Linked DNA regions of Canis lupus familiaris. The protein of the gene in region 2 interacts with the protein of the main gene of each other region in a pairwise test. Links are inferred from orthologs where the notes say so. Each region holds a gene or a part of one and is shown on either strand. Other genes may lie near its edges. The genes, in order: HIPK1, FHL3, C9H9orf116, SAP30BP, MRM3, DCDC2B and PATL1.

Evidence for each region.
Region 1: the proteins of FHL3 (region 2) and HIPK1 interact in binary tests that used the Homo sapiens proteins (3 or more experiments, as listed by UniProt). The two-hybrid records come from large-scale screens. The link is inferred for Canis lupus familiaris from reciprocal best matches to the Homo sapiens genes FHL3 and HIPK1.
Region 3: the proteins of FHL3 (region 2) and C9H9orf116 interact in binary tests that used the Homo sapiens proteins (3 or more experiments, as listed by UniProt). The two-hybrid records come from large-scale screens. The link is inferred for Canis lupus familiaris from reciprocal best matches to the Homo sapiens genes FHL3 and PIERCE1.
Region 4: the proteins of FHL3 (region 2) and SAP30BP interact in binary tests that used the Homo sapiens proteins (3 or more experiments, as listed by UniProt). The two-hybrid records come from large-scale screens. The link is inferred for Canis lupus familiaris from reciprocal best matches to the Homo sapiens genes FHL3 and SAP30BP.
Region 5: the proteins of FHL3 (region 2) and MRM3 interact in binary tests that used the Homo sapiens proteins (3 or more experiments, as listed by UniProt). The two-hybrid records come from large-scale screens. The link is inferred for Canis lupus familiaris from reciprocal best matches to the Homo sapiens genes FHL3 and MRM3.
Region 6: the proteins of FHL3 (region 2) and DCDC2B interact in binary tests that used the Homo sapiens proteins (3 or more experiments, as listed by UniProt). The two-hybrid records come from large-scale screens. The link is inferred for Canis lupus familiaris from reciprocal best matches to the Homo sapiens genes FHL3 and DCDC2B.
Region 7: the proteins of FHL3 (region 2) and PATL1 interact in binary tests that used the Homo sapiens proteins (3 or more experiments, as listed by UniProt). The two-hybrid records come from large-scale screens. The link is inferred for Canis lupus familiaris from reciprocal best matches to the Homo sapiens genes FHL3 and PATL1.

Annotation. Positions count from the first base shown.
Region 1 is NC_049238.1:52,268,437-52,271,955, reverse strand, and holds part of HIPK1 (homeodomain-interacting protein kinase 1), read right to left. Parts: intron 2,396-3,519; 5' UTR 2,394-2,395; coding exon 1,318-2,393; intron 1-1,317.
Region 2 is NC_049236.1:4,653,576-4,657,610, reverse strand, and holds the start of FHL3 (four and a half LIM domains protein 3), read right to left. Parts: upstream 2,819-4,035; 5' UTR 2,732-2,818; intron 1-2,731. UniProt on the Homo sapiens protein: Recruited by SOX15 to FOXK1 promoters where it acts as a transcriptional coactivator of FOXK1.
Region 3 is NC_049230.1:51,281,047-51,285,088, forward strand, and holds the start of C9H9orf116 (UPF0691 protein C9orf116 homolog), read right to left. Parts: upstream 2,811-4,042; 5' UTR 2,794-2,810; coding exon 2,648-2,793; intron 1,543-2,647; coding exon 1,464-1,542; intron 1-1,463. Other genes in the region: MRPS2 (28S ribosomal protein S2, mitochondrial), read left to right, coding at 3,438-3,477, 3,606-3,731. UniProt on the Homo sapiens protein: Microtubule inner protein involved in the attachment of outer dynein arms (ODAs) to dynein-decorated doublet microtubules (DMTs) in cilia axoneme, which is required for motile cilia beating.
Region 4 is NC_049230.1:5,747,339-5,751,255, reverse strand, and holds the end of SAP30BP (SAP30-binding protein), read left to right. Parts: intron 1-1,308; coding exon 1,309-1,393; intron 1,394-1,669; coding exon 1,670-1,851; 3' UTR 1,852-3,416; downstream 3,417-3,917. UniProt on the Homo sapiens protein: Plays a role in transcriptional repression by promoting histone deacetylase activity, leading to deacetylation of histone H3.
Region 5 is NC_049230.1:44,978,218-44,982,406, forward strand, and holds the start of MRM3 (rRNA methyltransferase 3, mitochondrial), read right to left. Parts: upstream 2,802-4,189; 5' UTR 2,766-2,801; coding exon 2,452-2,765; exon of another isoform or gene 2,356-2,451; intron 2,196-2,355; coding exon 1,951-2,195; intron 1-1,950. Other genes in the region: GLOD4 (glyoxalase domain-containing protein 4), read left to right, coding at 2,868-2,957. UniProt on the Homo sapiens protein: S-adenosyl-L-methionine-dependent 2'-O-ribose methyltransferase that catalyzes the formation of 2'-O-methylguanosine at position 1370 (Gm1370) in the 16S mitochondrial large subunit ribosomal RNA (mtLSU rRNA), a conserved modification in the peptidyl transferase domain of the mtLSU rRNA.
Region 6 is NC_049223.1:68,392,655-68,396,885, reverse strand, and holds the start of DCDC2B (doublecortin domain-containing protein 2B), read left to right. Parts: upstream 1-1,430; 5' UTR 1,431-1,786; coding exon 1,787-2,055; intron 2,056-2,971; coding exon 2,972-3,023; intron 3,024-3,427; coding exon 3,428-3,504; intron 3,505-3,917; coding exon 3,918-4,049; intron 4,050-4,231. Other genes in the region: IQCC (IQ domain-containing protein C), read left to right, coding at 1-72, 195-1,046.
Region 7 is NC_049239.1:37,550,146-37,553,664, reverse strand, and holds part of PATL1 (protein PAT1 homolog 1), read right to left. Parts: intron 2,017-3,519; coding exon 1,799-2,016; intron 1,499-1,798; coding exon 1,418-1,498; intron 804-1,417; coding exon 609-803; intron 1-608. UniProt on the Homo sapiens protein: RNA-binding protein involved in deadenylation-dependent decapping of mRNAs, leading to the degradation of mRNAs. Acts as a scaffold protein that connects deadenylation and decapping machinery.

The DNA.
Region 1 (3,519 bases), on a different chromosome or scaffold from region 2:
ATAAATATTGTATGATTCAACTTACATGCCGTATCTAGAATAGGCAAATTCACAGAGACAATAAGTCAAATAGAGGTTACCAGGGGTAGAGGGAAAGGTGGAGTTTTTGCTTAATGGTTACAGAGTTTCTGTTTTGAGTGATTAAAAAATTTTAGGAATAGTGGTGATGGTTACAGAACACTGTGAACATACTTAACACACTGAATAGTACATTTAAAATGGTTAAAATGGTAAACTTCATATTAGGAAGATTTTACACAATTAGAAAAAAATATGTAGATGGCATACCTTCTGAGCCTTTGTTCAGATTAAAATATCCTTCTTTTATTTTCACACACAATATAAAATTCTAAGCTCAGACTTTCTATTTACTGAAAATTTAATATGGGCATTTGATATGTTGGACATATCACCTGATAAACATATATTGTGGATTATCTTTTTTTATTGTTTCATTTCTTGATTGGGTGAGTGTACAATTTGTATTTAATGAATGATCATTAAAATTAAATATTAGGTTCCTTATAATTAGTAACTAGACAAATAAATAAATGTGGTATTAAGAAATAAAAGCTCATTTAAGACTTCCCCCTTTATTTTCAGTAATTCTCCCTGATTATAGCACAGACAACATTGTATATACAAGCATTTAAGTACTTTCACAATAATTATTATATATTAAAAAGACAGCTTTCTTAGAAGTATCAATCTGGAAATATAAATCACTAAAATATAGGCACTTATTGGGTCAAGGACATTTTAGGATAACCAAATAAGGTCATAGCCAAATTAAGTTCGAACTCTTATGGAGATGTTAAAATAGGAAGAGCCCTCGGCAATCATCAAATCCAATTCTCTTTACTACACAAAAAAGAAAACGTCAAAGAATGAAATGTTGCTAGAGTTAAACCTGGAATTATTCCCAAGGCATCTTACCTGCCAAGATATGAACTTGGAAAAGTAGCAGCATATGCCTAAATTCATTACAAATAAGTAAACATCTTTATATTTTTAAAGACTCTTTAAAATGGGAGAATTAGGTTTAATGGTACTTGAGAAGGAACCGGATGCTAGTATAATTCAACTATGAACAACCTTCAGAATTAGACTGAATTAATTTTTCTAGTGTTAAATAAAACTTCAGAAATAATGTTACATATAGGAATGCCAGAGATGGAATGAAGTAAAACATATTTTCCTATTCTACCTTGCAATCTGCAAATAAATTCAGTTTGTTATACGTACTCTATGTAATATATGTTAAATATAAAGATAGATCTCTAGTCTAAGATATGCTTTTTAACATTTGCCACTTGCCTGTAGTAACGTGACTGTAAGTAGGTTGAGCACACAGCTTTGGAAACGTGACTAGCAGAACCAAAGTCAATGACCTTCACTCGGTAGGGTTGGCGCACTGGGTCGACCAGCATTATGTTTTCAGGCTTAAGGTCAGCGTGAATCAGACCAAGGCTCTTGAGCTTCATCAGGGCTGTGGCCACCTGCTGCAAGATTGGTCTGATGTACTTGAGTGGCAGTGGGCTAAACTTGTTCTGCTTTAGAAAATCATATAAGTTCTGCTCCAGCATCTCAAACACAAGGCAGGTGTGATTCTTATGCTGAAAGCATTCATAAGAACGAACAAAATTATACTCATCAGCATTTTCACTGCTTAGGCGGGAAAGGATGCTCACTTCAATCTGTCCTTGTCTGGCATAGGAGGGGTGGTTCTTCAAGATTTTAATAGCCACGATTTCCTTAGTGCTCCGCTTCCAGCACTTAGCCACCTGTCCAAATGTTCCCCGGCCTAGGAACTCCAACACTTCATAGCTATTGGTCATAGAGCAAAGGATCTCATGCTGGACCAGCTGGTAATCCCCTTCTCCGCTGGAACTGCTACTCTTTGTGGTCACAGTGGTGGTTGTGGCAGCAGCACCCACCACAGTCCTGTTTTGCAGCATGAGAGGGGGATGTTCTTCTATGATCTGCACACTACCGTTGCTGTCAACTTCCTCACTTTTTCTTTTCAATCCACATTTTTGATATGGCTCAAGCAAAGAAACGTTGTTTCTGTGAGTCAGGGTCTGGCTGCTTTGGAAGGTTGATGTAGCAGCACTGGCCGAGCTATCAGCAGCTGTTACAACAATATGCTCCACTGCAGGAGCTGGGAGGAGGAGGCCCTGGTCGTAAGCAGGGATGTTGAAATTTGCTACCTGGTGAGAGGAGTTGGCTTGCCCTTGTGTGGCTGGGAGGGTTTTGCTGTGGGTATAATATTTGTCGTTGCTGCTCTGTCCAGAAACATCCCAGCCAGAGGGCTCTATTTTCAGTTTCTTCGCACTGCAGAAGGCACTCGACGACACTGATGGGGGGGAAAACACCTGCAGCTGTGATGCCATACCTACGTTGAGAGAGAGGAAGAATTAGATCCTCAGTTTTACACAACCCTGCAATTAATAGATTAGAAAACTTTTAGTTTAGTAAAACCACAAGTAAAATATTACTATCTGGCTGGAGTTTTATTTTATGCATTTTCCAAAATATGTTTCCTATTACAGAAGGATAAACTTTTTGGTCTAATCACACACACACACACACACACACACACACCCTTTTTTTAAAAAAGATTTTTATGTATTTATTCATGAGAGACCCAGAAAGAGAGGCAGAGACAAAGGCAGAGGGAGAAGCAGACCCCCTACGGGGAGCCTGACGTGGGACTCAATCCCAGGACCCTGGGATCACAACCTGAGCCAAAGGCAGACATTCAACCACTGAGCCACGCAGGTGCCCCTAATCACTCACCCTTAATCACTCTTTGAGACTCAGCAATAGTAAGTCACCTTGTCAAAAGAGCATGAACATCTATGATGGTTTATAAAATAATAACCATAATAATAATAGCTTAGATGATTGATCACTTACTATGTGTCAAGGAGTAGTCTAAGCACTTCCACGTGCATTACTCATTTAATTGTCACCACAACCCTTTGGAAAAGATACTATCATTATTTCCCCTTTACAGATGAGGAAACTAAGATACAAAGTGGCTAGAGTAACTCGCCCAAAATAGCACAGCTATTAAGTAGCAGCACTGGAATTCAAACCGAGGCTTTTTGGCCCCAGAACTCATTCCACAGCTCTGTCTTCATTCCTACCCTGATGAGATTTTTGATCATTTAGAGATAGATGACACACTTACAAATTTTACAGCTGAATCAAATTTGCGAAGGATATTCAATATATTGCTAAAATAACGGGTCCCAAAAGATCACAATAGGGCAGAAGCCGCAAGACAAATCTAGATGAAATTTGACACAAATATAGAATCCTACACAGGCCCAAAATATGACTAGCACAAAGCACCAGGATAAAAAAATTCAAGGTTTAGCAGGAGCACATGTATATGAAAAACACTTTGAGTTGGTAAAAGAAACACTATGTAATAATGTTTCCCCAACCAAAAGCTAATTCAATCTTAAACTACATTCACAGAAAGAGTGTCCAAAATGTGCTGGACAAAGT
Region 2 (4,035 bases):
TGCCTGGGCTGTGGGCCACTGGGCAGCAGGGGGCCACACAGGTGGAGTGTGTGGCCGTGGTCCGTTGGGGAGTGCCCCAAATCTTTTCCTTCCTTTCTGGCTTGGCACACAGCAGCCATCACCTTCCCGGGCCCAGGGTAGCCCTGGGGCCACCCTCTGGGAGGCAGTCATCACTCTGAAACAGGGGCACCCCAAATAGGGTATGGGCATGGCTTCTGTTTCTTTCCCAGAATCCCCCAGTCCCCTAGTTTGTCCAGCTGGGCTCTAATGAGGACAGAGTGAAGGGCACTATGGAGACCCACCTGTCCCTGCCCATCCCCCTTCCTCCCCTCCCTCCCACTTTCCCTGGCACAGCAAGAGAACTGAAGAGAACCAGTCTTATATTCCCTCATGGCCTGGGGAGGGGGGGTTACGGAGGAGACTGCTCAGTCTGCCAAATGGCTCTCAACTCTTGTCCTCAACACACACACAAACACACACTCACACACACACCACCCCTACACCTGACACACACATCTGGCACCTTCCAGTGAGCCTCCCAGAGGTTAGAATGGCTAGATAAATGGCTGTGGCACAGTGTATAGTAGGCCCAAATGTGGCTTGGGGTGGGCATCCTGACTTCTTCCCTTACTAGCTGGGTGATCTTGGGCAAGTCACTTAAGGTTCCTGGGCCTGTTTTCCTCTACGCCTACCCCCTTCTCCCGGGGTTGTCGTCAGGCTGAAATGGTGGTGCTTGGAAAGCACCTGGCAGAAAGGGACTCCTCAGTGAATGGTAGCTGTGGGCGTTTTTATGATCAGCCCCTCACTCATACGGGGGTCAGACAAATTTCTGAGCCAGGCCTGGCTCAGGGAGCTGGCCTGGGTTTTGACCTGGACATTCTCAGGGTAGATTCAGGGATAGACCAAAGAGGGACCCCCACCCCCACTCCCCAGTTCCACTAGGGGAAGTGAAGAAGCCCAGGCCGTGGGGCTGCCTGAGGAGATCAGTGGGGCCGGCCTGGTGCCAATGAGCATAACTCCTGAGACCCCTCACACAGGTACACAGGTGTACACACCTGCATGCTGCTTGGCCTCCCATAAAGAGAAATCCCATCCACTATTTCACCAGATCTCCCAAAAGGCAGGCAGAAGAGCATGTCATTCCCATCTTACAGTCGAGCACAGGGACAAGCCAGGCCCAAGGTCACTCAGGCCTCGGAGAGCCCAGGTTCCCTGCTTCCCAGCCTGGAGCCCTTTCCTGTTTTTCTCTCTAAAAATGCTGCAGCGGTGGCAAAACGGGGTGGTCAACATTTTAAGAGCAGGGGTGTGGGAGATACTCGGTGACATCACTAGCACAGGAGTCTCACTCTTCTCCCCCAGCTGCTAACCCTGCCATTGGAAGGCACCCAGAAGCCTTTCCAACTGCCCATGCCAACCGTTCAACTCCTTTGCCCCCATCCACCCTGCACTGTCGGGGAGGACCCTGGCCAGGCCTCACAGCTGTGAGTCAGGATCAGATCAGACCCCTCCTCCCAGCTCCCAGGAACTGACAGGAGATTTAAGGGGAGAAACCTAACCCCCCCCAGCCCCCAACCTCCGGTATCAGGCACCAACCCCAAACTCTCCCTCTCCCCACCCCTCCCCGCCATGGGGCCTGGGAGTCAGAGCAGTTTAGGGGAAGGAGGGCGGGAAGCGGGATCCAGCAGCTGCCTTGGGGACAGGAGAGGAACAGTTCATTCACCCCGGGTCCCCCAGGGCTGAAGCAGCATGTCCATGATTTGAGTTTAAAAATAAGTTGGGGCTGTCTTGGTGTGTGCCTGGGGCTCCTTTCCGACGTGCCTGTCTCAGGTCCTTGCCTCACGGGGCTCTGGCTGGCCCAGAGTCTCTGTTTCCCCGCACCCCTGCTTCCCAGTCTTTCTCAGGCCTCCGTGTCTCGGGGTCTGTCTGGGAAGCTGTCAGGGCGCCTCGAGCAAAGCCAGCTGCGCCCCACGCAGCGCGACTGAGCCTCTGCACACCTCAGCTGTCTTCGTGTTTTGGGGACCTGTGTCCCGGGCTAGTGACCTCTGCTCATTTCTACCTCTGTACACCCAAATCTCCGTAACTGAGTGCCTCCAAGGGGTTCCCACCCCGACCCCTTCGCTTCCTCCTCGGAGCACCTCTGTTCCTGAGCGTCCCTGTCTGCAGTTTCTGGACGGCTCCATAGGCCTCACAGAGGCTGATCTGCCACAGGGCTAAGGAAGCTTAGGCTTCGGGGCCCCTCACCGCCCGGGACCCTGCAAAGCCCTGGGAAGGGCGCTGCTCCGTGTTCACCGGGGTCAGGGGACGCTTCTCCTTCGAGTGCTCCAACCCACAAAACCTAGGTCCGTCCAGACGCCTCCGGTCTCCCTCTCGGGGACTCTACGCCCCCAGAACCTGTCCCTGACTCCCTGACTCGGGTCCCCGTGCAGCCCCCTGTCCAAGCCTGCCGCGCGGGCCCGCGTCTTGGTCTGGCTCCGCCCGGCTTTCAGGGAGCCTCAGTTTCCCCAACCCTCCAGGTCCCGCGCTCGACTCTGGCTTCTCCGTTTCAAACTTGGCCCCTTCCCCCCCCATCCCCAGGTGTCGAGCAGCCCCCCCCACCCCGCCGGGCGGCCGGGATCGGGGCGGTCCCGGGGGTGGGGGGGCGCCCTCCGGGGCTCGGCGCCCCCCGCTCCAAGCGCGCCCCCCGGGGCGTCGGGGGGCCCCGGGCGAGGAGCCGGCCTGGGCGGGAGCTCACCTCGGAGCGGGCGGCGGGAGCGGGGAGGCCGGGCCGCGCGTCCCTCGGTGGCTCGTACCTGCGGGCCGGGCGAGCGGGGCCGGGCGGGGCGGGCGGGGCGAGCGGGGCGAGCGGGGCGAGCGGGCGGCCGGCGGCGCTGCCGGAGCGCACGGACCCAGCGGGCGAGTGGAGCGCGGCCCCAACCCCTCCCCGAGGAAGTGCGCGCCGGGCCCGCCCCGCCCGGACCCCGCCCCCGGCCGCCCCCGCCCCGCACCCCCAGGCCGGGGGCCAGACCCCGCCCACACCCCCCCTCGGGCCCGCGGGTCTAACCTGGCTCGCCCGACCTTCCCCGGCGCCGGGACCCCGCCCCCGTCCCCTGCTCGCCTCCGCCGTCCCCTCCCCTGCTGCACCCCCTGCACCCCCCAGCAGCCCGCTGGAGACGGCCTGCTGCACTCGATCTCCAGCACGGGGGCCGGCACCCAGCCCACCCAAGTCCCCTGGGGTCCTCACTCATGGCCTCTTCGTGCGCCCCCACTCCCACCTTCCAGCTCATCCCCTCAGGGTCACACCTAGACCCAGCTTGTAAAGGGGCCTTAATCAAGCCTGGAGGCCCGGGAGTGTGTGTGTGTGAGGTGGCTTGACTCTGCTGTCACGGCCCTCCCTATCAATGGGAACCAAGGTGTTCTCTGGAAACAGGGAGTGAAGAAGGGACCCCCCCACCTCCGCCTCCGCCTGACCCCAGACTGGGCCTTGACCTTCAATGATTTCACAACTTTTGAGTGGCAAAAACAGAAGTACCCCCCACCTCCTCACCTCCGGAGGCACCCTGGGACAGAGAAGTTCGGCCTTGGGTTTCCACAGTGCCCAGGAATAGTTATGACCTTTGAGGCCCAGGGGAGACCCTAATCCTTGGCCCCATGGTTTTTGGGTTTCTCAGGGAGGGGTGTGAAGAGTGTGCGCGGATGGGGCACCGCAGGGTTGGTGGAGGGAAGTGGAGGGAACCCTTCCTCCCCCACCTCTACAGTTTCCAATCCTCTGGCTTTCTCCCTGCGCCCCAGGAGGGAGGACTGCTGCCTGCCAGGGACACAAGGCCCCTCCAGGTCCTTGGGCCAATCCCCCTGGGATCCTCAGGCTTGTCACTAGGCATAAATAGCCTCGATCTAGAAGGGTGGGGAAGGGAGGAGGAGGCTGTGCTGTACTGTTTGCAAAACAGGAGACAACAAACTGACTCTAGAAATAACCTCAGCATCTAGAGTAGAGACTCAGGTGCCACAGGGCTTCTCCCATCCCCCAGGCTGGGTCTAGCCAAGCTCTCAGAACAGAGA
Region 3 (4,042 bases), on a different chromosome or scaffold from region 2:
ACACTCAGATCCCTTGTAGAGCTCTAAGATGCCTCTGATGCCCACACCCCACCAGCCCAGGGGCATGGGGAGGCGCTGCCCTAGTGAGGTGAGGGCACGGTGGGGAGCACAGCCGAGTCCATGCACGTGTGCGCAGGCACCCAGGGTGGTGATTGGACCAGCAGCACAGCGTCATTGGGGAGACCCTGAGATTTCTGACATACAGGGCCAGGGCTAGGTGTTTTACCCTGGACAGGTGGACCCGCTCTTCAGCTCTCCTCGTGTCAAGATCACCTGATACTCTTTTTGCTTGGCAGGAGGCAGGAGCAAAAATAAATGTCTTCAGTGCATTTCTTTCTTTTCTTTCTTTTTTTTTTAAAAAAAGATTGTAGGTCAGAAGGAGGTTCTTCCTGCTGCTTACTGACCAGCTTTAGCTGCAGCCCGCTTTTCGGTATCCTGACCTGAGTCTGCAGGTAAAGCCCGTCAATTAGCAGCAGGAAGAACCTCCTTCCGACCCTGCCTGCAGAGCATCTAGTGCTTCACGGCCCATCACCTGCTAAGACCAGCGAGGGGCAAACCCCCACAATTTAAAAAAAAATTAGGAAACTTTTTTTTTCAATGGTCTTGTTTCTAAAAGTAAAACATTTGGACCCATGTTAGTGAGTTGAGTGTGCTGGTATTTTTCATGTTAATACCTGATCCTGGGAAAAATGTGGAATCATTTTGATTCTGGGTGAGTGACCCTTAAATGCTTTAGAAACTTTCTAGATAAATAATCTCCTCACAAGGGCTGTATCTCCCATGTGAAACAAGCAAATGAGCAACTTGGCCAGATCTCTAAATGATGAGTATTTCAAAAGAAACAACAGCATCATCAGCCCAAAGTGGGTGGCCCTGCTGTCCTGAGTTATCCAGGGAATGCTTACGCTGGTCAGCCTGGCCCTTCACCTGGGCCCAAGAGAGACACCAGGGGGCTTCAGAAGGGGGTTCTAGAGCTCCAGACTGTGACATCAACCTCCAGAAGGGGGTGAGGATTCCCCAAAGGTGCACAGATCCCCACATCCAGCCACGTGGGGATGGATGCCTTGTCCGCCAAGAGGATGCCTTGTCCTCCTGCCACCTGTGATTTTGGCCCGTCCTGTCTCTTTAGGCCACAAGTTCATTAAAATCAAGTATTATTCCAGAAAGAAAGCAACTGTTCACTTGTCTGCCTCAAAACTCATGGCCTTAAGATGACAGAGGGGGTGGGACGTCTCAAGCCAGTCTACACACACCTTTTCCATCTTTGACACATTCCATCGCTAAGTTTGCTCACTCACTCATTTCCGCTCTGCTCTGTCTGGAAAGGACTTGATGTGCCACCTCCAGTTTTGTGAGGTTGGAAATCTGGGCCCTTCCCCACCGCCCCTCATGAGAAATCCAGGGTCACAGCCTCCTCCTGGAGATGTTCCAATGACACACAGGTGCTTCCAAGCTTGGCTTACCGGCATCTCATGCACGGTGGGGGCCCTGCTCCCGTAAGCTTGGTTACTGGTCCTGTACATGGAGACAGGCTCCTTGGTCCTGGCAGATGAGAAACAGTTACTCCAATTCTGCCCAAGCCTGTAGTCTTAGAATATTCACTTGGTGGCGCTCTGTTGGGAATGCCACAGGTTGGTGCTGAGGCTCCGAAGGTGGGGTGCCGCGGGAGGCACGATGAGCCTCCCTGCCTCCTCGGCTCACTTCCACCCTGGCTCTTCCCCAAGGGAGGCCAAAGCCCTAAAGAACTCCCGGAGGGGGATCCCTGGGTGGCGCAGCGGTTTGGCGCCTGCCTTTGGCCCAGGGCACGATCCTGGAGACCCGGGATCAAATCCCACATCGGGCTCCTGGTGCATGGAGCCTGCTTCTTCCTCTGCCTGTGTCTCTGCCTCTCTCTCTCTGTGTGTGTGTGTGTGTGTGTGTGTGTGTGTGAGACTATCATAAATAAATAAAAATTAAAAAAAAAAAAAGAACTCCTGGAGGGCAAATGCAGACCTCAACCGGGGTGGAGGCTTGGCACATACCGTCATTTCCCGGGGAAGATGGGTAGGTCAGGACCCAGGGCTCAGCCTCCACACCCTGCCACCCCAGGGTGGGAGGGTCCCTTCACTTTCAGAGCCCTGGGCAGAAAACATGCCTACAGTCTCTAAAGCCCAGGCTGTGGTTGGGATGTCAGCCGTGCCTTATGCCACCAGATCTGGGGCAGGATGCTATGCTTCCACCCTCAGCAGTCTCTCCTGGAAAGCAAGAATACTAACAGATCTGGTCTACCGGCCTGCAGAGGAGACTAGGTGAGGGAGGGCAGGGCAGGTGTGGTGGCGGGTGTTCTACTACTTGGGTCTAAGGCTTTGCAAGAACAGCTACGGGGGGGTGGGGTGGTGGTTGCGGGATTCGGATTCTGCAGAGACTGCGCTCAGCTGGAGAGGCGTGCGGCTGGGTGCGGCTGCCTGGCCACCCCGCCCCTCCTGCAGTGACCCGAGCACCCCCGCAGGCGGGTCTGCAGCTTCGGGCGGCACTTCCTCGCTCCCTGGGTGCTAACCGCGGGCAAGTCCGTTGACCTGGGCTGCAGGGCGGGCTGGGGACTGGGGAGCCCCCCGCCCCCTCCAGGCCCGGCGCTGGCCCGGTGGCCCCCGACCCGATCCGTCCTCACCCGTAGCCCCGGAACCACGCCGGGTTGTTGAACCTGACGGGCAGGTTCTCGTCCACGCAGTAGTAGTCGCTGGTCCTCGGCGGGGGCCCCGCGGGGGCGGGGGGCTCCTCGGCCGCCGCGCACTCTCGGGGGCTCGGCTCCGACATGCGCCTGGGCTCCCGCGCTGCGGCGGGTGGGAGGCCGCGAGAGGCGGCGCGGCGTCCCGTTGCCAGGCGACGGCCGGGTCAGCTGCCCGGGCGGCCCCGCCCCGAAGGCGCCGCGCTCCCGGAGGCCGGCGACCGTGGCGGCTCCTCGCGGTGGGGTGGCGAGCGCGGATCTGCCCCCGGGCCGGCTCAGGCCGGGGGAGCGGGAAGCCCACGCCCAGCTCCGCACGGCCGCCCGGCGCCCGGAGGTTCAGGGCAGACTCCACCTGCGCCTGGTCCTCCGGGATGCTCCTGGGGAGAGCGGCAGGTTGTGCTAGACCGGCCGGAGGTGAGGAGGGCGCCCCGGGGCCGGGACTCGTGCGGGCTGCGGGGCCGAGCCGGGGGCAGGGCGGGGGGCGCGCCCCGGTGACTCCCGGCCAGCGGCGGGCCGAAGTGGGGCTCGCGGCGCGCGCGGACGGGGGCGGGGCGGGGCCGAGCGGCGGGGGCGGGGCGGGGCGCGCAGGGGCGGGGCCGAGGGCTGTGGGCGCGCAGGGGCGGGGCGCGCAGGGGCACCTCCGGGCCGGCAGGCGGCGCTGCGGCGGGGGCGCCGGCGGGGGCGGAAGCAGCGCGGCCCGAGAGCGTGTCCCCGCCGGGTCGTCCTCCGCGCCATGGCTCCCGCCGCGACCGCGCCCCGGCTGCTCGGCGCGGGTGAGTGCGCGCGGAGGGGCCCCGGGGACCGCGGCGGGCGTGGGGGTGCGGGCGGGAGCTGCCCGGGGCCCGCGGGGAGCGGGGTGGGCGGGCGGGGACAGCGCGAGGACGGCCGGCTCTCCCCGCAGGTGTCTGGCCCCGGGCGCTGCGGCCGCCTCTGCTCGGGACGGCGACCCCGGGGCGGGCCCGGCCCGGCGGCAGGACCTTGGCAGGCGCCGCGATCCCCGCGGTCGGCGAGCCGGAGGGCAGCGCGGGTAAGGCAGGCTCCCCTGCGGCGGGGGGGGGAGGGGGCGCCTGGCCCTCCCACGGGGGCTGAGTCGTCTGCCACGAGGAGTCCCGAGTGCGAAGCTTGGGGGGTGGGGAGCAGCGGGGAGCAGCGGGGAGCGGGCCCCGGAAGGCCGGCAGGCAGCAGACCCGCGGGCTGGGGGCTGGGGGCTGGGGGCTGGGGGCAGGGGTCACTTGCACCTGCAGCGGCGGGTGGGGGGGGTAGACGTGCGGCCTGGCTCCTTGCAAGGGCCCTCCCGGGACTCCTGATGGGGACCTTCCTTCCTCTGCGGGCTGGGCC
Region 4 (3,917 bases), on a different chromosome or scaffold from region 2:
GGTTTGCTGCACTCCCCCCTCCCTCTGCTGCCTGCTACAGCTGCGGAGCCCTGCTGGCTCTGGGCATGGTCATCAGTGTCCTCCCTGGCCTGATAGAGTAGTGGGTCTTCCTCCTGAGATCTGATCTGCACAGTCTGCCTCCATGCTTCCTTGTAGGTCCCATGCCTGGTGGCCAGCTGACCCCTTATTTTAGGGTCTGAATAGCACTTCTTCTCAAGCAGCGTGATTTACTTTTTTTAAAAAAGCTCTGCATTTTATTTTTTTTAAGATTTTATTTAATCATGAGAGACACAGAGAGAGAGAGAGAGAAGCACAGGCACAGGCAGAGGGAGAAGCAGGCTTCATGCAGGGAGCCTGATGTAGGACTCAATCCTGGGTCTCCAGGATCATGCCCTGGGCTGAAGGCGGCACTAAACCGCTGAGGCACTTGGGCTGCCCAGCAGCGTGGTTTAGATCTTTGGAGAACAGAAATTTGGCGATGAGACTAAACATCCTCAGGGCGCTATGCCCTTTACGACCAGTCTCTGAGAGAAAGGGGCCTTGGCACCAGGTCTGCCCACCTTGGCTTTGCCCTGACCCTCCTGCAGCAGCTTAGCCTTCAGGATGCCTCCAACCCCCAGCAGAGGGGCGGCCACCCACCAGGAGCTGGTGCTGGGGTGATCAGGTTTTCTCGTTCTTAGTGCTTGATGGAGTGTCCCTTCTGTCTCTTTCCCTCCCCATTCCAAACCCCAGGCTTAGTGTGGGACATGTCTGCAGCACCTGGGAACCAGAGCTGTGCTTCTGCCACACGGGTGGGTACACCTCCACCCAAAATGTGAGGCAGGGCAGCAAGCTGGTTTGCCCTGCACGTGCAGAAATGTGGTGATGCTGGGAGCAGTCCAATGTCTAGAAGGCTGTCCTCAAAGTAGTAAAATTCAATTCTCTCTCCCTCTTCCTCTGCCCCTCCCCCCAAAAAATAATAAAAAAATCAAAGGGGCCCCTGGGTGGTCCCATGGGTTAAGCATCCAACTCTTGATTTTGGCTCAGGTTCTGATTTTAGGGTCATGAGATTGAGCCCCACCTTGGGCTCTGCACTGGGTGTGGAGCCTGCTTGAGTTCTCTCTCCCTCTGCCCCCCCCCCCTCTCCGGAACACAAAAAAATGTAATAAAAGTCTCCTCCAAGCACCTCTTGGACTCCTCTCCCTCTCTTAGCACAACAGGGCTGCTTCTCACTGCCTCCTCTGTACAGCACAAACTCAGCCCCGCTGGCCGAGGATGCGGATAAACTGCTTGGCACAGCCCTTATCTCTTCCCTTTCTCTCTCTCCAGATCGAGTTTGTGACAGGCACCAAGAAAGGTACCACAACCAACGCCACAGCCACCACCACCACCACAGCCAGCACAGCAGTTGCAGGTAAAGGGAGGCTGGTCTGCTTCTAGCCACACCACAGATGGAGCCGGGGTTTCCCTGCCTTGTTTGGGGGAGCAGAGCCCATGGAGATCTGGGCGTAGGCTCCACCTTGCTGTGTTCTTTTCTGACCCCAGAGTTTGCAAGGCATCATGGGAACTTGGGGTGGGGTCCCCACTTCACTGGCTACCCCTTCTGTAGGGGCCCCTAAACCCTGACCTAGAAAAGAGAATGTTGCTTGTCAGTTTATTGTCCTGACACTCATCCCTTGCTTCACTCCAGATGCCCAGAAGAGAAAGAGCAAGTGGGACTCCGCCATTCCGGTGACGACGATAGCGCAGCCAACCATCCTCACCACCACAGCCACCCTGCCAGCTGTCGTCACGGTGACCACCAGTGCCAGTGGCTCCAAGACCACTGTGATCTCTGCCGTGGGCACCATCGTGAAAAAGGCCAAGCAGTGACCTGAGGGACCAGCTTGGGGTGGCTTGGACATTTCTTTCCATCGAGGGGAGGAGCCACTTCAGGACTTGGGGAGACTGTGCAGCCCGGAGACCAACATTGGCACAGAGGTGCCGCCTTGTTTATTTCAGGACTGGGATCTGCTCCCCAGATGCCACCCCAAGAGGAGCCTCTTTGTGGCGTTCCAGCCAGGAAAAGGACATAGCTACAGAGGAGTCGGGTGCTGTGGACGGTGTCCACACACCACTTGAGGTCCGGTGCCCTATTAAAAGTGCCGTATTCTTCTGTCGGCATCTTGGCTGCACTGGCCTCTTCTGTGGTCTGTTTTCAGGCAGATGCGGAAGTTCCAAGTGCCCTCTCTATCTCCTCTTGTCGGGTTTACTACCTCAGGGTTGGTAGTGGAGTGGCCAAAGCCTGTGGCACTAGTCAGTGGGGGCAGCCCAGGAAGTGGCTGTGGTCATTCCCGGCATGTGCCTCTTGGCACGGGCAGGTGGGCGTCCAGAGAGTGGGGGAGGCCCCATGGTCCCGCTGGCCGCTGCCCTGATCCTGAAAGCCAGCCAGTTCTCAGACAAGAGCCGAGGTCTCTGCTCCCTTGGGGGAGATTGAGCCCTCCCAGACTCTTTAGACACACCCAGGCTTTTGAAGTCCGGCCCGTTACCAGAAGGCCTGGATTTGATCCCCAGGCTGCACAGGGAGCCCAAGAGGCATCCGCGCCTGGCCAAGGCTGCCCCGGTCCCTCAGTGCCCACCGAGCACAGCCAGCGGGCTCCACGCCGTGTGGGACATGAATCACCTCCTGCCCTGGCGGCGGCGGCTCATTGTTTACGTGAAAGCCAGGCTCTTGGGAGGATCCTGCCACCCCACCTTTCCTGTGCCTGTTATCTCTGCCCCACAGCAGCGCCTGGGCAGCGCCAGTGGCCGCCGGGCTCCTCTTGAGGCCAAAACAGATTTCCCAGCCGCTGTCAGCCCAGAAGTCTGGAGGGAATTCTCTCGCTTTTCTTGGCCCTTGGCAGCTGTCCAGCCCAGCGGAAGGGCTATGTGTCAGAGAGGGAAGCCGGGCTGTGAAGAGCCGTGTTGCTTCTGTGGCATGGGCAGAGGGTTAGAAAAGTGCTCCTAAAATTGCACCTGGTAACTGTCGCATAACCAGAGGAGTACCATGATCCTGCCCCACCATCCCCAAAATAAAAATTGACTCACACTTGTCCCCACCCTTGCCCCCCTCCACACACTTGGGCGCTAAGAGAGGTCAGTGTCATCCTCCCCTCCTTTGATGGGACTTTGCAACCCTGGAGAGGAGCTGCTGCCCCTTCAGTCCCAAGAGGGTCTCTGAAGGCTTCCTACCCTGCAGCCTCCAGCGGAGGCCCCTCTGTGGTGCAGGGGCACCGGGGTTGTGTGGGAGGCGGTGCAGCACAGTGGGCATGGCAGGAGACGTGGACTCTGCCCCTCTGCTCTGCTCTGGATCCTGGTTTAAACAAGTTGTGTTTTCAAGTTGTGTGTCTTGGGCCCTTATCTCTGTGAGTCTTCTCTGTCAATTCCTGTAATAAAGCTTTCTAATTAAATTAGGGCAATTGTGAGAAGTCCGTGAGATGATTTGTGCAAGAGCTGTATAAACTGTAACGTTCAAGTGCTTGGGGCCCCTGGGGGTTTCACTTGGGGAAGCGTCTGCCTTTGGCTCAGGTCACGACCCCCAGGTCCTGGGATTGAGTCCTGCATCAGGCTCCCTGCTCAGCGGGGCGTCTGCTTCTCCCTCTGCCTCCTCCCCCTGCTGACCTGTGCTCCAGTGCTCTCTCTCTCTTTCTTTCTCTCTCTCTCTCTTTTTTTTTTTTTTTTTTTTAAATCTTATTTATTTATTCATGAGAGACAGAGAGAGGCAGAGACACGGGCAGAGGGAGAAACAGGCTCCACACAGGAAGCCCGACATGGGACTCGATCCTGGGTCGCCAGGATGGCGCCCTGGGCCGCAGGAGGCGCTAAACCACTGAGCCACCCGGGCTGCCCCTCTCTCTCTCTCTTGAAGAAATAAAATCTTTTTTAAAAAATAGGTACAAATGTTTGACCCATCCGGTTCC
Region 5 (4,189 bases), on a different chromosome or scaffold from region 2:
GAACACATAAATACCTATACCTAACCCATCAATGAAGGTACTAGAATATTAGGCATCTGTGTGCTGTAGAAAGGTCCTGCACTTAGGAGCCACAGATAGCTAGCTCTAAAACCATTCAGTGGGGCAGGGGCCTCAGGAGTCCTTTAACCTTTACCTGAATGGCTGCAATGATCAGAGCTCTCTACTAGAGAGGCCCTACTTACATTACTAGATTTTAAAGATGTGCTGGAAATCTTTTTTTTTTTTTTTTTTTTTAAATTTTTATTAATTTATGACAGTCACAGAGAGAGAGAGAGGCAGAGACATAGGCAGAGGGAGAAGCAGGCTCCATGCACCGGGAGCCCGATGTGGGATTCGATCCAGGGTCTCCAGGATCGCGCCCTGGGCCAAAGGCAGGCGCCAAACCGCTGCGCCACCCAGGGATCCCCGATGTGCTGGAAATCTGATAGGCAGTCTTATCTCTTTCTCCCTATACCCCATCCCTCCAACATTAAATAAAACATAGGATAAGCTAAATAGGGGCACTTTGGTGGCTCAGTTGGTTAAGTGTCTGCCTTCAGGTCAGGTCATGATCCCAGCATTCTGGATCAAGCCCCACATCGTGTTCCCTGCTCAGCGGGGAGTCTGCTTCTCCCTCTCCTTCTCTGCCTTGCTATGCTCTCTGACAAATAAATAAAATCTTAAAAAAAAAAAAAAGGATAAGCTAAATACACATATTTCTAAGAGACATGAAATGATGAAGGCAGTCATAACAACAAGGAAGGCTAGAGTCCTGGATAGGCTGGCCACTATTAGCACACATGTGCAAAGTGACAAGCATGGTAAAAAATTGAGTGATATTTGCACTGTAGTATAGAGTAGGGAATTAAAGGTGTAGCTAACAAGACCATACTTAAAGTGGAGGGCTTTAGCAGTCCCAAATCCCCACCCTAGGGGAGAGTTCTAAATCCAGGGTCACAGATCACTATGACTTACTGGATTACAGAACGAGAGATGGTCCCCAGAACTTCCTCTCCTAATAGCTGAACTATCCCACAAGGAAACACATGCACAACAGAGACCTGATATCAGAGACCCTGGCCTAGGGGATCCCTGGGTGGTTCAGAGGTTTAGCACCTACCTTGGGCCCTGGGTGTAATCCTGGGGTCCCGGGATCAAGTCCCACATCAGGCTCCCTGCATGGAGCCTGCTTCACCCTCTGCCTGCGTCTCTGTCTCTCATGAATAAATAAGTTTAAAAAGAGAGAGAGAGAGAGAGAGAGAGAGAGACAGACCCTGGCCTAAACATTAGAATCTTGAAAATAACTCTGCCTGCCCCAACTGTCCCTTACTATCCAAGAGGAACCTCTACACTTAACTGCCATTCAATTCTCAGATCTAAGATATAATTCCAATGTCAAAAAGATGTAAATTTAGTTTTTCCATATTTAGAAAAATAAACCCTTCTAAGTGCTAATAGACACCACAGTCTATTAGAATCTTTTTTGATTCAACCAAATAAAGACAGTTTCTAAAAAAAAAAAAAAATAAAGACAGTTTCTTGTTCAATGAGCTAAGCAGGGTAATAAGCTCAAAGCTTTCTGCTTAGACATGCTTCTACAAAGAGGGTTAAAGACAGAGAGGTATCACCACACTGGCAGAGGTCTTGGACAAATGGAGAGCTAAATACTTTAATAAACATTTTCTTAAATTTTAGCTGGACATTGAAGGTTGAAAAGTGACCTAAAAAAATACAATGTTCAAAGAACTATAAAGAGCCACAATACAGATAGATAATGACAAAAAAAACTGCAGCTTCCACTGAAAATACTGTAAGACCCACAGATCTGAGAACTGTATTTATCTGAGTGTCTTAAAACATTTTGAATTTGGTTCAAATAAAATTTGTTGCCCTAAGACAATTATGAATAAGTAATCCTAGATCTCTACTTCTAGTGACATAAGTACTGACCCATTATTCCTTGTGGAGTTACTAGGTCGGACCAATCCTTGATATCTTCAAATTTCACCTTAATGAGACTGACACCTTTCAGCTTATCAATGGGAAGCTCCTTTATGTACTCCAGACGGCTAAAGAAGAAAACTTTTGGCACAGCACCAGCCTTGAGAGCATCTGCAATAAGCCTGCGACCTTCCAGTAGGATCTTTCCTTGCTTTTCCCGAAATGGCCTGGACTTAACTATTGTCATTACACTGCTGTGGGTGGAAACAAAAAGACAGGTAATTACTAACATCCTTGTTACCAAAACACACCTAGTTCTAAGAGACATAAAGAGCTTCATAGACATAAAAAAACGAATTCTAAAGAAAACACTTATTTTGCCCTCCATGCCTAATAAAAACCAGAAAGTTGTACCGGGATTAGTCCTCCAAAAGGAAAAAACGGGTTAAGGTCCCGATGGCAGGCGGGGAGAGAAACGGGAATACATGACAAGTCTCAGGAACACATCACCTCAGCCTTCTGTCCCCGGGCAAAGCCTTATCATAGCGAAGCCCAGACTCTTCCCAGGCGCAGGACGTCTGGGATGCGGACACCTGAAGCGGCGGCTTCTGTCGCTGCTCGTGGGGACTGGCCTCAGGCGCTGCCCTCCGGGGCTGCTTCTCAGGACCAGGCTTCCGTCCCACCGCCTGTCCGGATGGAAACACCACCCTCACCGGGCTCCGCCGTAGCGCCCGGACCCAGCGCCGCGCGTCAAGGTCCCAAGTTCGGACCACCGACAAGAGAGGCCGCGTGACCCACCCCAAGCCCTTTACCCACGCCGCCATCTTCCCTCGCGCCGTGCGTGCGTCACGGAAGCGCGCCGGCGGGGACCAGTGACGTCACGACCGGCCCGCGCAGCCTCCTGACGGTGTGTTTCGCTAATAGCTATGGCTACTCGTCGAGCTTTGCACTTCGTGTTCAAAGTGGGAAACCGCTTCCAGACCGCGCGTTTCTTTCGCGATGTCCTGGGGATGAAGGTGCAGACGGGGCGGAGGAGGGCTGGCGCGCGAGGTTGGGTGGCCGGGACCGCTGAGCCCCACTAGCCCCAGGAGGGGCCAAATGGGTGTTCCGTGAATCTCCGCCAGCGCCCGGGCGTCAGACCTTAGCCCTGGACTCCGCATTAGCCTTGTCAGGTTTTCAGCTCCAGGAAGCGTTGCATGTTTCTGGTTGGGTTAGATGACCTTTGAAAGGGGCCTTTATTAGTCTCCGACTGTTTGCCCTCACGCTTTTAAGTTCATTCACAAATACTGAGCCTCAGCTCTTGTGGAGCTTCCAGTCAAGCGGGAAAGATCATAAACAAAAAGCAATATAATACTTCTCCAGTGAACAATAGCTCAGTTACTGTTTGGAGCCTTTCAGTTTAGATAATCAGCCTATTTAGAGCTCTGCTTCTCTCAAGGCTTCTGATCGCTGGGATATTCACTCTCTGGGTGATTGCACCGGCCCTCCTTTTAGCAGTCCAGATCCAAGTGTGAAGTCAGTACCCATTCTCTCTAACACCCGGAAGCGCCCTCTCCAGCTCTAAGCAGCTGCGATTTTGCAGGGATCCCTGCGTGGCAAATGGAGGTGGAGAGCTCCTGATAAGCAAGGGCTTTAGAGGTGCAAGAGTGCAATTTAATGTAGAGAGTGAAGAAGACGTGGAATGCAAGGGAGTTACCCGAATTCGTCAGTCATTTAGAATATATCATCCGCGTTTCACGGTCCTATGTTGAGCTGATTTGTATATAGTTAACAGTAATGGAAATCAAAACTTGATAAGTGAGGGAAAACCACAAAACTCTCCCTTAATGTGTTTCTTCATTGGTTAAAGGGTTGTTGTGAAGATTAAACACTGTTATATGTGTGGTATTTAATATATCATATGTATTGTATAAGTAGTAGCCACCACTATTATTACAAAAATACTACAGGAAAGATTTAATTTCAGCCTGAGTTGTCAGGAAATAATCCACAGAGAATTGAATTTGAGTTGATATGTAAAGATAGGTAAGATTTCCACAAAGATTAGAGGGAGGAGTGTACTAGGAAAACTGGAAGAGCCAGTGAAAAAATAAGGTATGTTTGGAAAACACCACTAGTTTTCTGTGCCTCTAGCTTAGATTACTTAGTTGAAGTTGAGGTGGGATACAGGACAAATAGGTTAGGACTACCTTTTTTTTTTTTTTTTTTTTTAAGATTACTTATTTATTTATTTGAGAGAGAGCAAGAG
Region 6 (4,231 bases), on a different chromosome or scaffold from region 2:
CTCCAGTACCACCACAACCACTTGGCCATGGAACTGCTGTGGCTGCAACAGGCTATCAGTAGCCGTAAGGAGGTAGGCACTACCTTGGAGCCCTTCCTGCATGTTTAGGGCCAGGGGTGGGGCTTAGAGAAAAGCCTCCTGCTCTATGCTTAAGCAGTCCTGCCTGGTACAGTGTCTGTACTCTTCCCCAACAGTACCTGATTCTTAAACAAACACTGACATCTGGCCCAGAGGTGAGCCGGCCCAGAGACAAGCCCAACTTGTGCCCAGATGGCAGGACACAGACCTGTGAGAGGGCTGGGTCACAAACAAGCCCACCACCAAAAAACCAGTCCTACAGAGACAGGACCACTAGAGAGCCAGACTATGTGGATGACTGTTGGAGGCTCAAAGCACAACGCCACAAGTCCCTGGAAAGACTGGCCACTACAGACAAAACTACTGCTGGGATCAAGTACAGGGACCCATGCTACAGAAGAGCTGGGCCACAGCTGCCCACACTATCAGATAACCAGGCCTTAGAGAACAGGTTCACCAAAGAGCCAGACTGTGGGGAACAGACCTTTGGACGGACCTGCCCGCAGCGGATGACTGCCCTGGATGACCACACCCCCAAAGACCTCAAACCCAGGGGCTCCTATTCCGAAAAGGCCAGGACCTGGGTGCCCACACTCTGTGAAGACCCAGATATTGAGGACAAGTCTCCCACAGGGCCGGAACACAGAGAGGCCAATCGCCAAAGAGCTAGGCCACGGAAGTCGGACCTCTCAGAGGACTTTGGCATATGGGATGAGACCTTGGCAGAGTATGGTGGCCAGGATCTCTGGAAGACTAAACCACCTAAGGGCCAGTTCCCTAGGGACAAAAGCTCCAGAGACAGAACCTCCAATGAACCTAGCCATGAGGAAGGGAAAAACCAGAGGATTGTACCATGGCAATCAAGGCCGCCTGAGAAACTGTCTTCAACAGGGACACTCCACATGGGAGAGGAAGGCCCTCCTTGGGGAGCCAGGGGGAAGACCCGCTTCCAAAGGGGGGTGCTATGAGAGGGTGATGAGGGAGGCAGGGCTTCATCCTTGCTCCCTGCTACCAGCTCTACCTTCTGCCCTTGGCCATTGGTGGCTAATGGGGCCAAGAGAAGCTGGAGCAAGGAGCTGGCACCAGCATAGGGAGAGGATAGGAAGAGACTCTCTTCCATCCTCTGTCTGTAGCTTAATCCAAATTTTGGGACAGGGAGTTATCCGGGGTAAGTAAAGTGGGGAGCCTGATAGAGAATAAAGGTTTTTCATGGATTCTACACCTGGTTGCATTCATCATCTGTCTCTGTTCAGGATCGACATTGGGCCTTCCTGTTCCCTACCTGCTGGCATGCGGCATCTTCCCAGGGCTGGCTGGGAGCCACAGTCCAGGGGCTGACTGGCCATCCTTGGGAACAGCCCCCAAAGCTGATCTTCCTTTGAGCTCAGCCCTTGGCCTTCGGAGTGGCAGGGTGCCTCAGAATTCTTCCCTCTATCCAGTATTGGAACATCTGTGTTTCAGTGTTATCTCCAGCACTGCCTCTCACTAAGCCCCAGAGTCTTCCTTCCAATATAGTCATCAGACCCACCCAACTCTCGAGAGGCCCCACCAAGGGCTGACTGGCTGAGACCCAGAATGGAGACACATGCTCCTGCAGTCTCTCCCTGCCTTCTTTGGTTAGGGGGCAGGACTCTACTTCTGATTGGCACTACTCCCGGCCTGCCTGGTTGCCTGGCAACAGATCTGCGTCTATGGCAGAGGACACACTATGGCTGGTGGTGGCAATCCAGCAGCCAAGAGGGTGGTGATATACCGGAACGGGGACCCCTACTTTCCAGGCCACCAGCTGGTGGTGAGTCAACGCCGCTTTCCCACCCTGGAGACCTTCCTCCAGGAGGTGACATCGATTGTGCAGGCCCCAGTGGCAGTGCGGGCCCTCTATACGCCTTGTCACGGCCACCGTGTCACTGACCTGGCCGACCTGCAGAATGGAGGGCAGTATGTGGCTGCTGGCTTCGAAAGATTCTGCAAGCTGCAGTGAGTGGGCTGGGGCTGGTTAGAGCCTTGGGAGGGAGGGAACTGCAAGAGCAGTAGTATTTGTATTTAGTACTTGTATGTGCAGGCACCTCATATGTTCTCTTCTGGAATACAGCAGCCCTATGCAGGGGGTGGTCTTATCCCTATTCTGTAGCAGGGAAAATCAAGACAGGCTAAATATCCTGCCTAAGAGCCTACAAATTACAAACAGCGGAGCCACAGCTCTAGGGAATGTCTGACCCTGGTATTTATGCCCATCACAGTCAGGACTGGGCTGCTAGGAGAACATTCTCTGCAAGGTGAGCCCCTTTTTCCAAAGGCTCTTCTTGATTGGATCCTCTACCACCACCGTTGCCCACCGCTAAATCCATCCATCACTTCCTCCCTGCTGTGATAAGGCAACCTGTGCTCTCCGCTGGCTGGGGTCATCCCCTCTCAAGGTGGGGCCATGCCTTCCAAGATGGGAGAAGAATTTTGAGTACCTGAGCTTCCAACTCCTATCTGGTTTCCAGGTGCTCCTCAGCAGTCACCTGAGGTTGCTTAGGGTGGCATAAGGAGCAAGGGGTGGGAAGCCAGGCTGACCTAGAATCTGGGCTCTGGCACTTACTTCCGTGTACTTTAGGTGAGTCACTTAACTTTCTCTGTCTCACGGAAAATGAGATACAGTTGTGAGTGAGAATATTTCTGAGATACAGTATGATGCTTAAGGAACTAGTTTCTCTTGACCTTTAATCTTAATGGTTGGTGTCTGAGACCCCAGTCTGGATGTTCAGCCTGACACAGGGCCCTAAGGCAGGTTCAAGGGCCACATCTGTTTCTGGAAAGATGTTTTGAGACTATCCCAGTGGGAATGGATACCTGGTAAGCTGAGCCCCCAGGCTCCCCAAGATGACCTGTGACCCATCTGTCCTTTCAGCTATTTACCCCCCGGAAAGAAGGATTCAGGTGGAAAGGGCAGCAGATTACCAGTGAGTACTGGGAGTCGTCCTCTAACCCTTCGTGGGGTTGCCCCCAATTCTGTCTTGGAAGTCAGGGGCCCTGGAAATAACAGGACCTGCCAGTTCCACAGGGGGCACTCTGCACACCCACTCTGGAGTCAGTTGCTGCCCTTCCTGGGGTGCAGGATTTCAAAACTTTCCCTTGATCCTTTCCCAGCCTTTTATTTTATCTCCAGATTGTGGTCCGCAAAGCAAAGAGGAAGCTGTAAAACACATGGGGGCAAGGGGATGGTTGGAATGTGACTCCAGGGAGATGGAAGGGCCCTTTGGCGAAAGATGTAATCTATCCCATCCCTCCTTGCCCCCCTTGGACTGACCCCTCCAACCAAAGGCTTCAATTCTGTCCTGATTTGAGGGCGTGACTTGGGTTTCAGGGTCCTCCTGTGACTCACTACCCACGTGACAGGACCCTTGGATCGCAACCACCTGCAGGCTCCCCCTGCTATATCCAGTGAGTACCAGCATCAGAGAGCAGGAACAGAGATTCTGTTTCAGTAAAGACCAAGAAAACGGCAGTGGATTTGTTCCAGGAGGCCCCAGGTCACCAGCAGGGATATAAAAATTCCCAGTGTGAGACACCTGGGTGGCTCAGCGTTGAGCATCTGCCTTTGGCTCAGGGTGTGATCCTGGGGTCCGGGATCGAGTCCCGCATTGGGCTCCCTGAAGGAAGCCTACTTCTCCCTCTCTCTGTCTCTCATGAATAAATAAAATCTTTACAAAATAAAATAAAAAGTCCCAACGTGCCTGATGGGTGAAAATGGACCCATGCACTGGCTCTTAGATCATCTTCTGGCCCCGTGCTACCCTTCTTCCTCTCACACAGGGGGTTCTAGGGACTCTTCTTACCAGACTGCTTTGTCCCAGTGTGTTCAGGAATGGGGACCTGTTAAGTCCCCCATTTAGCCTGAAACTGTCCCAGGCTGCCAGCGAGGACTGGGAAACCGTGTTGAAGCTCCTGACTGAGAAGGCCAAACTGCAGGCCGGGGCTGTGTGCAAGTGAGTGCGGAGTGCGGGTCTGGGGAGGTCCACAAGTCCCTAGAGGGAGCCTCCCTACTGACTCCGGCTGCCCATGAGGGCGACAAGGCAAAAGGAAAGCACATTTCCCCAAATGGGATTCCTTCTATGCCACAGGGAGAGGCCCCTCCAGCTGAGCAGGGCAGAGCCTGGGTGACTGGGCC
Region 7 (3,519 bases), on a different chromosome or scaffold from region 2:
TAGCAGCGAGGGAGAAGGAATGATAAGAAAGCTGGAGGATTAACTAAGTCCTATTCTGAAGCCCCTGTGATATGGCCGCCATGCTCAGCTGTTTTGTGATACATTGTGACTCCACCGTTTCATAGAATACTGAGCCTAACTAGGCCATACCAACACCACCCTCCCCCCATACCTTCCAAATTGGCCTTCCTTTTCAGCTGCTGGTTTCAGGTGGAGGAAAGTCTATGGAACAGGACTGCACAGGCTCTAGGGAAAGCAGGGATATCTTAAAGGTAAAAAGGGATGTGGACAATGCTGTGTGTTCCCACTCCCCCCGGCTTTTAGTTACCTCTCTGCCAATGTTGTGGGCAGCCAGCAAAACACTTTGAAAAGGATATATACACTAAATGTGGTTAACTACCCTTTTTCTCCCCCAATGAAAAGGCAGCAGCAACAGGAGCAGCACCAGCAAAGGGCATTAGGGAAAGTGTCTCTTATTTGTACTAACTTCTCTTTCTAATCTAATGCCTACCCAAAACTTCCACCCTCCTCCCAGCATTGCCAACTTCCCAAATAATTTTGCCCAGATTCCCAATATCCTGGGCTGAGTGCCTGTTAATGAGAGGTACCTGCTGGTTGAAGCTGGGTACGGCCATCTGCTTAGGTGGGGTGCCTATGGGGACGGCTCTAACAGGAGGACTCCCAATGATAGGTGAAGTTGACCGCCGTGGTAATGCACGCTCAGAAAGGTCTCGATCATCTTCTGGGCCCTGTGGGGGCCTTTGAGGCAGGGCATATTCTAATACAGACACTGTCGGCATTTCCTAATTGAAGAAATGGGTTAAAAAAAAATCAAAACAAAACAAATAGAAAATTAGCCCACAGCCAACTTAAAATGTTTTAATACGTACAGATGCCAAAAGCATCTTGAGAAATTTTTAAACTTTTTCTTTATTCATGTCCAGTAACATTCCCTCTCCTTGCTGTACAGTCCTCTGAATTTTGATAAATACAGAGATTCATGGATCTACTGCCACGGTCAAGAAACAGAGCAGTTTTGTCACTGCCCAAACCTCTGCTGTACTGTCCCTCAGCAGTCAACCCCTTCCACTACCTCCAACCACTGTTAAACACCTATCTGTTCTTCATTCCCATGGCTCTACTTAGCAATGACTTCAGGAATTTGGATTATAAGCTAACAAATTTGAATTCTAATGTCTCCCTTTCTACCTTTTCAAAATAAAGCACAGTCAACTGAGCATTGCTGTGGAGGCTGCGAAAGTGTACCATCAACAGGTACAGTTATGAGCACTAGATCAAATAATCAACACAATAATAGCAAATGATAGACACACCTATACACTGTTTCAGTAAGGAAAGGATCCCAACAGGAGTTTCCACGTACTAGGAATTTGTATAAAGAGAAAATGTTTAATACCTGAGCAAGCAGTGGTCCTCGGATTCGCCTCAGAACTTCAGATCCATCCCAGATGCTGGAATTGAGACTTCCTGGTTGGGGCTAACAAAAAAGGAAAACACATACGCAAAGTCTGGAATACTGAGAGCTTTCTGGGCGATTTAAACTGGTTTCGGTGAACAAAGCTCCAAAAGAGTCTCAACTGCTTGAGAAGACGAAACTACAGTGTTCTAGGATGTACATTATTCCCCACCTTCAACTGCTATGATCAGGAATTATATTAATAGTTTTATATGGAACATGCAAGTTTCTTAGGATAGTAGATGAAACAAAATGCACAGCTCAATACTTCACCTTAACTACTAGTCTGCTATAGTTCTCAAATCAGAGTAACTTACTCACTTGCAGAACTGGCCTGGTCTGCACTGCTCTCATGATTGCTGGATCTTCTAGCTCATTTTCAATCACCATCTTACTGAGCCTTTCTGCCAGATTCTCCTCATGGTCACCCAACAAGTCCATTTCATCCCTTTCTCCATTGCCTGTTTGTTCATTAACTGCCACTGGCAGTTTCTCTTCCAATTCAGCCAGGCGCTCATGGGCTTCTTGCCAATCATCATCTATAAGGACATCATAAGAAAAAAAACATACTTCATATAGGGACTAAAAGTTTTATGAAATTCTTCAATTAACCAAATGAACTCATGTTAGAATATAGTCAGCTTCCACTTAGAGACATGAAATAAGATTTAAGCTAAGAGGCTTAAATTGAAAGTGGGATTTTTGTGATTAAGGACAAATAACATCATGCCAGAAATAAAATTCAAGCAGTTAGACTGATAGTTTAATACATTATGAATGGCATCCAAACTGTATCCTGAAAACAATTTCTAAACTGGTGATAGGTATGTATACAACAACCCATAGGTTTTCAGATTCTATGATTTATCAGGCAAAAAAGTAAAGTTAAAACTCTCTGCATTGGTATACAGGTTCTTTTAAATTATAATCGTCTTCTTTACAAGCTCTCAAATTCATTCATTTCATTCAATGAGTATTTGTTGAGTATATATTATGTGCTAAGTACTCTTTTAGGCACACGGGATAGATCTGTGTATAAAAACATAAAGGTCCCTGGCCTCCTGGAGCATTCCTTCAAGTAGAGAAGAGACAAAAAGTAGACAATAAATGTAATAAGTAAATTCGGTACTATTATCAGGAGATGAAATGCTGTAAGAGGACGGAGGAAAAGCAAAGGTTGGAGACTGAGTAGGATGGTCAGAGGTATGTCTCACTTTGAGGGTGACGTCTGAGCAGAATCAAGAGTCCAATAGATGGCTGTGTGGATTATGTGGGGGAAGAGTGTTCCACACAGAGGACATCTATAGAGAAGGCTTAAGGATAAGTGACGATTGTGAGAGATAGCAAGCACTGTGTTTGGATTGGAATAATCGAGGAGAAGAGTAGAAAAAAATGAGGCCAAATGATGGGAGAGAGCTCCTTCCAGGTCATTCTGATTGAAATGGGGGCCACTGGAGGTTTGATGTGGCTTGACTTTTTGAAAGAAACACTCTGGCTGCTGTACTGAGAACAGATTCAAGAATTGGGGAGGAGGGGCAGGGAAAGGAGCAGAAACATGGAAGCATGGAGGTCTGCCAGATGGCTACTGCAGCACGCCAGGGGAAAGGGGATGGCGATCCAGACCTGGTCCGGTCCTTTTCCATGTTAACAACGTCCCCGCTATTCCTGCACACTACTACACAGTCTGGTGCTGGCACAAGGTTATGTGTTCACACAATATGCCGATGCAGTGTTATTTATGAGTCCTGCTACAGCACAGGTAAAAGTCTTCAGAACCCCCATCAGCTTCTTTATTTCCATTGCTCCTTATTTCCCTACCTTATTTCCATCGCTCGGTCATCCCAGTGCTCCTCAATCATCCTTCATTCTGCTTCCACTCACTAGTTCGCTCCTTTTGGCATTTAAATTCAGGTGTCTTTCCCTCCTCAGGGAAACTTTCCCTAAAAAATCTTTTCATTTTAATGCTACCTTCACCTCATCTGAACACCAAGACTTTCAAACTCACAAAACCCCCATGTATTTGTATGTATTTTATTCTTAAC